Linked DNA regions of Coturnix japonica. The protein of the gene in region 2 interacts with the protein of the main gene of each other region in a pairwise test. Links are inferred from orthologs where the notes say so. Each region holds a gene or a part of one and is shown on either strand. Other genes may lie near its edges.

Region 1 (3,985 bases), on a different chromosome or scaffold from region 2:
GTCACAGGACCCAGGACCCACGGCCGCTCCGGCTCAGCACAAGCAGGGGCCGCTGCCGGCACCGCTGCACGGGCACAAAGTTCAGGGCAGGAAAACAAACAGGAGCCGCGGATGGAGGGACACCGCGCAGGCAGGGGGGAGGCAGAGAGGATCGCGCTCCTTATCTGAGGTAATGTCACGCAGTGTAACGTGGAATCAATCTTAATATTTGCAGCGCAGCCGATATCCAGCTCTCAGCCGTCAGCAGAGCTGAAGCGGGACCCGGCGGCACAGGAGCCCGTGCACAACACGCACCAACTGCACCGACAGCCGCGCACCGGGCAGCTCAGCTGGGCTCTGCTGCGTGCACGAGGCGGCTGCTAACCTCTATAACCCCAGATTTTCAGCTTGCAACTAAGAGGGCTGCAATGGAGCACCAAATACAGCTAAAAAGCAAACGAGTGCAGGTGTTCAGTTTTAAGGCCAGATTAGGAAAAAAGAAAAAAGAAAAAAAAAAGTCAAAAAAGTCCTTATTGTCACAATGAAGAGTACGATATTTTTCAAAATTGTCTTATTTTAAAAAAAGAAAAAATCTCTGTAAATTCAGCGATGTAAGAAATTTGCAAAAATCCCTTCAAACGCCTTCGAGACAAACGCGACATTCCTTCCCGTCTCATTAATGTTGCACGGAAAATAACGTTGTTGTGACCATCATTTCAGTGTTTCAAACCCCGCCGCCCGCAGCTGCCAACGCGGAGCCGGAGCCGGAGCCGGAGCCGCTCTGCACGCGCGGCCGCATCCGTCACTTCGGCGCTGCCCGTCCCTCTCCAGCGCTTCCCTCGCGGCGCTGCCGGCGCTGCACGCGGCGGATCCGGGCCCGGGCCGGGCGCTGCCGGGTGCCGCTGTGCGCCGGTACCGCGGGCAGGGCAGGGCAGGGCCGGGCGCATCCCGGAGGCGGCGGAGGGCCGCGGCCGAGCAGCGGGCGGCAGCGCCGAGGCGCGGCGGAGGAGGGCTCAAGATGGCTGCGGCGCGGGCCGGCCCTTACCTGTTTTCTCCTTGATCTCGCAGAGGACGCTGAAGAGCGCGGGCTTCATCCTGTGGCAGTTCAGCGCGTGCTTCCTGCAAGAGAGCACACACAGCGTTAGCGCCCGACGCGAACATGGCGCCCGCCGCGCCGCGCCGCCAGGCCGCCCGCAGAGCCCGGCATCGGGCCCCGAAACCGGCCCCGAAACCGGCCCCGGCCCGCACCAGGAGCGGGCCCGAGCGGGGCCGTTGCTCCGTGCCACACCGCGGCGGCGCCTCTCAGCGCCGGGCCGGGCCCGGGCCCCGCTGCGCGCGGCGTAAATCAGCGCCGTCCGGGGCTGATTTATTGCGGAGCGGCCCGGGCCGGGCCGCGCTTTGTTTCGCAGGGCGGTGATTTAGGACGGCCGCCGCTCTCTCCCCCCGCGGCGGTGTCTGCTCGGCGCCGCCATCCATCTCCCGCCGCGCCGGGCACGGGGCAGCGCCGCGGAAAGTTGCGGCCCGGCCCGGGGCCCGCGGACACACGGACACGGGACGGGGCCGGCTCGAGCACCTCCCGCTGCCGCGTTTATCGCTCGGCTCGAGGCGTTCAGCGGCGTTAAGCGGCGTTCAGCGGCGCTCCGGCCGCGCCCCGCTCGCCCGGCGGTTCCTCCGGCGCCAGAAGTTCTGTCCCGGCCGCGTTCCCGGGCCGGAGCTGCGCGCCCCACGCGCGCCGACAGACAAGGCGTAACGAGACGACACCAACTTTGCTTGCGCCTCGTCCAGGCTTTGGTCGGTGATGGTCATGATCTGGTGCAGGATGTCCCCGATGTCCTGCTTCCTGCCGTCGCCGTCGGCCCCGTCGTGTCCGTGTGGAGGCGGCAGGGCCATGCCCCCCTGCACCGAGTGCCCCGCCAGGTTGACGCCCGCCAGGGTCTGCAGCATGCGGGACTGCTCGTCCATGGCCCCGCGCCGCGGGGGCACTGAGCGCCCCGGCTCGGCCCCGCCGCTCCGCGACGGCGAGAGGCGAAAAAAAAAGGCAAAAACACCAAAAGGAAACGGCGGCCGAAGGAGCGGCGGTGCCGGGAGCGGCGGCGGCTGGAAACGCGCTGTTCTCCCCGGCGCGGTAAATCACTCTTCTTTAGTTACAGTCTTCTCCCGTCAGCACCATGTCTGTGCCGGGCCGCTGCCTGTCCCCGGAGCGATCTTCCTCCACAGCGTTTTATTATGAGCAGTAGTATGATTGTTATCCTCTGCTATTATTGTTTTTATTGTTGCTTTCTATGTCTTTTCCCCACTTTGTCCAAAGAATCTTCTATGCGAAAAGGCAACAAAATAAAAAAAAAAAAAAAAAGTAAAAAAAAAATAAAAAATGACAAAATGCCCAAAGTTGGATTATTCAGATCCCGCAGAAGTTGGGAGGGCAAAGAGCAAAAAGCACAACGAGCCGAGCGGCCCCGGACCGACACATCAAAACGGCACCAAAACACGAGCAAAATTAATGCCCTCCCCCCAAAAATCACCAACCATCCCGGGTGAGCGGGGGGACGGCGAGGAGCAAAGTTTGAACTCGCGCAAAGAAAAGAGCGGAAATCGAGGGGAAAGAACTGTAAAAAAATTAATTACACACTGTGTGCGAAGCAACGTGCAAAAATATCAGCCGGCGGGGATTTATGAGCGCGGCCGCCCGGTGACTGTGTGTGCTTTATGTTGTTTGATGGCCGCTCCGGTGAGGGATTGACAGCCTGCCAATGCCACTCACTCACCCCGCAGACGTGTCACCCTGTGAGCAGCGCCGGACGAGCCACAGGACGAGCCGATCCGCCCCGCCCCGCAGCGCGCCGCCCCTCCCGCCCCGCCCCGCCCCATCGGGCGTGTCCGCCGCCGCCCCGCCCCGCGCCGCGGGGTCGCCCTCCCGCCGGGCCCGGAGCCGCGGCGCTCCCCGGGGGGCGGGCTCCGCGCGGAGCGGCGGGACCGGCGGCCAATCGGCGCGGCCGCGGGCGGGCGCTCCGGCCAATCGGCGACAGAGGCGCGGCGCCGCGCCCGCCCGCCCCCGCGGAGCCCCCGCCCCCTCGGCCGAGAAACTTGCGATTGGGCCGTTCGAACGGTCACGTGGCCCCGACGAAAGCCGCTCCGGCCCCGCCCCTTCTGTTGCTATGGGAGCGCCCCGGCCTCCGCTACACGCCGGCACCGAGACGGGACCGCGGCAGCACCGCGCGGCGGGACGGGACGGGACGGGACGGGGCAGCGCCCAGAGCGTGGGCGGTTTCAGAGCGCTGAGCTTTGGGGACGGAGCTTCGGAGCTTTACGAAGTTGGGTTCCCTCAGCTCCATAGCAAACAGCGCGGGGCTGTCACAGATGTGACGTGTGTACAGAACAAACAGCGGCTCGTGCTCCCGCCGTGTTACCTGCACATCCCGCCGGCCCCGCGCCTCCCTCACCTGCCCGGCCATGCCTGGCTGTCGCTGCGCGGTGTGACGGCATTAACACAGTCTCGGTTCGGCGCTGTGAAGCCCCGGCACGAATTGGAGCCGCGCTCGGCGGGGACGCGCTCTGTGTGACGGACTGCTCCGGATAAAAGTCATGTCCAAACTAAAACCTCTCCCCAACATCTCCTGGATGTGCAGCTGATGGCACAGGATCAATGTGGCCAATAGAGCTCTCCATGTTCCTCCACAGCTCCCGCTGCTATCACAGCTGACACCACCACGTCTCCTCCCCTCAGCACCATCACTCCGACGTCCCCTGTTTGACGTGGGGTTCCTCTCCACGTCCCGTGGGGGATGTTCTGGCTATTTCGGGTTCAACACTTTTACTGTTCCTCCAGGTAGTTAGAACATTCTCTAACATCTTCCATCTTCATTACTGAGACATTTTCTGGTATGAATGATCGCGTTCTTAGTGTCATCCAGCTTTATTAAAACTGCTGCTCCAAAGAGCTGTTCTATTCTCATTATTTCGAATACTTTGCACGTCAGCTTACATTTGTCCACCAAGTGTGAGGCTC
Region 2 (3,511 bases):
ATGTCCCCTGTTTTTAACCTAAGCCTCACTAGGGGAGAATTCTGTAAGCTCCCACTTTTAGCTTTAAAGTGATCTGAAAAGGTCAGCACACGTGCTTGTAGATGAGTACATGCCTCTTAATTTGAAAGAATGCAGGGTTTGGGGAGAGGGAGGGCTGCCCTTTATTACTAATTATGTTGAGTTGCTTATAATTGTAGGCAGTTATGAAAATATGTTGTGCTTAAGCATTGCTTATGAACGATTATTATCACTGCTTGTTTCATGTTTCTGTGTTGGATTTCATTTATGCTGAGACTAGAAGGGTTAGATATGTATAGCAGCCTGGACTGAACCTGTTGTTTGCTTTTCAGGACTTCCTTTTCCATGGTGCTACTTTTGTCTTTTATTTTGGAGCTTTTCTACTGCAAGCAGCAACTACATCCCTGCATCACTACCCTCGCAGATTAAATTCCACCACATCTGTGACTATTCTGGGTGATCATGAATATAACATAAGCATAGCAGCCTCGGTATGTATTTCATGAACTTGTACCTAGCAGTGGAATTCTGATGTAAGCACTGGTAACCAGCCTTTCAACTTGGGAACTGCGCTGGAATGGGAAGAGGGATTGTGAGGAAGAAAATAGTCTTTGAAAGCAGCAAACATTCTGGAATAATCAGCCATTCTTACAGTGGCATGCAAAAAAAGTGCAGTGATCTGTTAATGGAGCCTAACGAGATAGATGCTTAGATGGTACTGTTTACAGTAGTGTTTTAAGTCTGTGATTACTACAGAATCTAGTTTTTAGGTGAGATATTTAGTAAAAATAATGCTAGGTATTGAAATAGAAGCAAAAGATGAAAACTGAGCCTTCATCAAAGTGTCAGGTATGACTTTCAAGCCTGCTCTCAAACTTGTAATTGCTTGGGTGTTTTGATACCTTTTAGATAGTCCTGAGCATGCCATAGGGAAAAATGTTGGACTAGCTCCTTATAAAGCTCCAGGTACATATTTTCTGATGTCAAGCATAAAAAGCAGCTGCAAGGGGCGTGCTATCTCCTGTGGCAAGGATTAGAGAGCTTTTATTAATCAATAAAGCTCTCTAAGCTAAGCTCAGATTGCCTTTTTATCACTATAATTGCATCATCACTGAATCACCATATCTGGTGATGTGTGTGTTCATTGCTGAGTCAGAAAATACACAGACCTTCAGCTTTCTCCCTAGCTGGACTCCTGAATGGCAAGTAGTGGTGTGCCAGCAGAATTAATTGGAAGAACTGAAACTGCTGCTTGTTTTGTGTTTTGGGTTGGTTGGTTGGTTTGGTTATTGTTGTGTTTCTGAGTTTGGGCTGTGGGATTTGTTTGTTTGTATTTGTATCTTCCAGGGCATCTCACATACTTAAAGGAACTTCCTACATTTATTAAGTTTCTGAATCATTTTGGGGGTATCTCTTGTCTTCAGAACTAGATAACCGTAGATTTTACACAATAAATACCTTCAGCTCATATTAGAGTGGGTCAAAATGAATGAACCCAACGTCTAAGAGTTACACCGTTTCTTCAAGATTAGGAAAGAAAGGCCTTGTACTTTGGCAAGCTAGGCTCTGAAAGAGTGAATTGAGTATGTCAGTCTTCAAGACACAAATTCCTCACCATTACCCACTTGCCTGTGACATAGTCCAGCACAAATTCCTGTATGACCATGGCTGGTAGACAGATGATGTCTCTCAACTGTGTCTAAACTGGTGGAGAGCTTTGAATTAATTACATGTCTCAAATTCCATACTTCAAAGTAGCTCCGCAGTCCTTGTTTCAGTGTGTTCAGATCTTACTTGATACGTGGTAACTCATGTGTCTCTCCAACAACAAAGTACTGAGGAATACAAAGACTCTTTACCTCTTTCATACTCTCCTTCTTTTCTAAGAAGAGTTCAGTACTTCACAACCCTTGGATCTTTGTTCAGATGAAGTAAGAGGATGTGATTTTGTAACTCACCTTATCTGTTAATTAAGAGATGGTGGGAGATGGTGAATCAAATGATGTAGTTTTTAGTATCTTCTTCTTTTTTTTTTTTTTTTTTTTTTTTTTAATTAAAAGTACCTGATTAGGAAGTCAGAGCATACAAATAAACAAAAAGTGACCCTTTGAAACACATCAGTAAAACAGTCTACAAACAAATAAGATAAGGCCTTGCTAACTTTTCCATCTGAAAATGACTTTCTAGTTGTGTATACTGCAATTAAAATGTATCTTTTGCTTTTATGAATAATACTCCTAGGATCTATTCAAACCTTGATTTATCAAATCAGTGCATGTGTGGAATCAAGGTTGTTATCGTTGGATCAAATCTATATGTTCTAAGAGAAAGTGTCCTTGATCAGTAGTGGACAATATGAGACATTTTTGTTACTTCCAACTCAGTTTCTAACTTCTCCCTTCTTGTTTATGTTACATACTCACTTTTGCCGTGGCACTATCTACAGTTCTTATCTGTTCATTTTCTTGAGCTGTAGCATCTTCCTGACATTTCTCAACAATCTGTCATGTCTTTTTCTCTGGTTGAAGAGGCCCAACTGTTTCTTTCTGCAAGTAAAAGGCTCTGCTGTTTGGAGGGACATCTCGTTCATTGTTTGCCAGTAAAGGCATTTACCTGGATACTTTCTAATGAAATACTAATCTTAGATTCTCAGTCTAGATAAGAGGAAACTGAAATATCAAGCGCTTAATTTCTACAATAACACACAACCTCTTCTGTTTATATCCTATGTCAAAATATCTTCAGCAGCTAGCAGCTAAGATAATAACAATAAGGTGGGCTTAAAACAGAGTTTATGAGAAGGCTTCAGATGATACCAGGTCTGTCTTTACTACTGGGGGGGTACCTTTTGAGTCGTTTGTGTTGTTACACTAATTTAAAATAGAAAAAAATATGTAGAGCAATATAATGTGTGATTCACTTTTTTTCTCTTCTTTCTCTTTTCTCCCTGCTCATCCTTTAGATTTTTGCCTTTGCAACAGCTGTTTGTTATGGTTTCAGCACAGCCCTGGCTTTGAGGAGATGGAAGCTATAGCAGTTGAAGAGACTTTGATTCCCAAGAGTTCAACTTCAGATCAAATTAAGTACTACTTGTCTGTTTTACTGTAATGTAATTCCAAAAAAGACTTTTTGCTTAAAATTCGTTTCCAAGTGCTGAAATGCAAATAACCCTTAATCAGGATTTCTTTAACAGAAGGTTCTGTCTCTTCCTCTTTTTTATTTTTTACTTTCTTTGGGAACTCCTTAGAAACGTTGTTTGTTGAATTGTAATCCAGAGTTCAGAGATAAACAGATGTTACAAGCAGATAACCGAATTCTGGTGCTAAACCAGAAGAACAGGAAGAAAACTGAAACTAAACAGACATGTTACCTGCATAGGCAGCTAAAAGAGCTACCCCCTTGTTAAGGCCTAGGATTGAGCTCTACGTGTGCTGCAGCATTACAGTGTGTTCCACACAGGTAGGACCTTGAGGCTCTTTGTAGAGTCATTGGT

The links. The genes of interacting proteins can lie anywhere in the genome.
Region 1: the proteins of MAL2 (region 2) and PBX3 interact in a two-hybrid assay, tested with the Homo sapiens proteins (2 studies listed by BioGRID). The two-hybrid records come from large-scale screens. The link is inferred for Coturnix japonica from reciprocal best matches to the Homo sapiens genes MAL2 and PBX3.

Annotation. Positions count from the first base shown.
Region 1 is NC_029532.1:8,212,843-8,216,827, reverse strand, and holds the start of PBX3 (pre-B-cell leukemia transcription factor 3), read right to left. Parts: upstream 2,804-3,985; 5' UTR 1,942-2,803; coding exon 1,745-1,941; intron 1,708-1,744; exon of another isoform or gene 1,553-1,707; intron 1,526-1,552; exon of another isoform or gene 1,228-1,525; intron 1,099-1,227; coding exon 1,025-1,098; intron 1-1,024. UniProt on the Homo sapiens protein: Transcriptional activator that binds the sequence 5'-ATCAATCAA-3'.
Region 2 is NC_029517.1:122,955,381-122,958,891, forward strand, and holds part of MAL2 (protein MAL2), read left to right. Parts: intron 1-350; coding exon 351-509; intron 510-2,980; coding exon 2,981-3,052; 3' UTR 3,053-3,511. UniProt on the Homo sapiens protein: Member of the machinery of polarized transport. Required for the indirect transcytotic route at the step of the egress of the transcytosing cargo from perinuclear endosomes in order for it to travel to the apical surface via a raft-dependent pathway.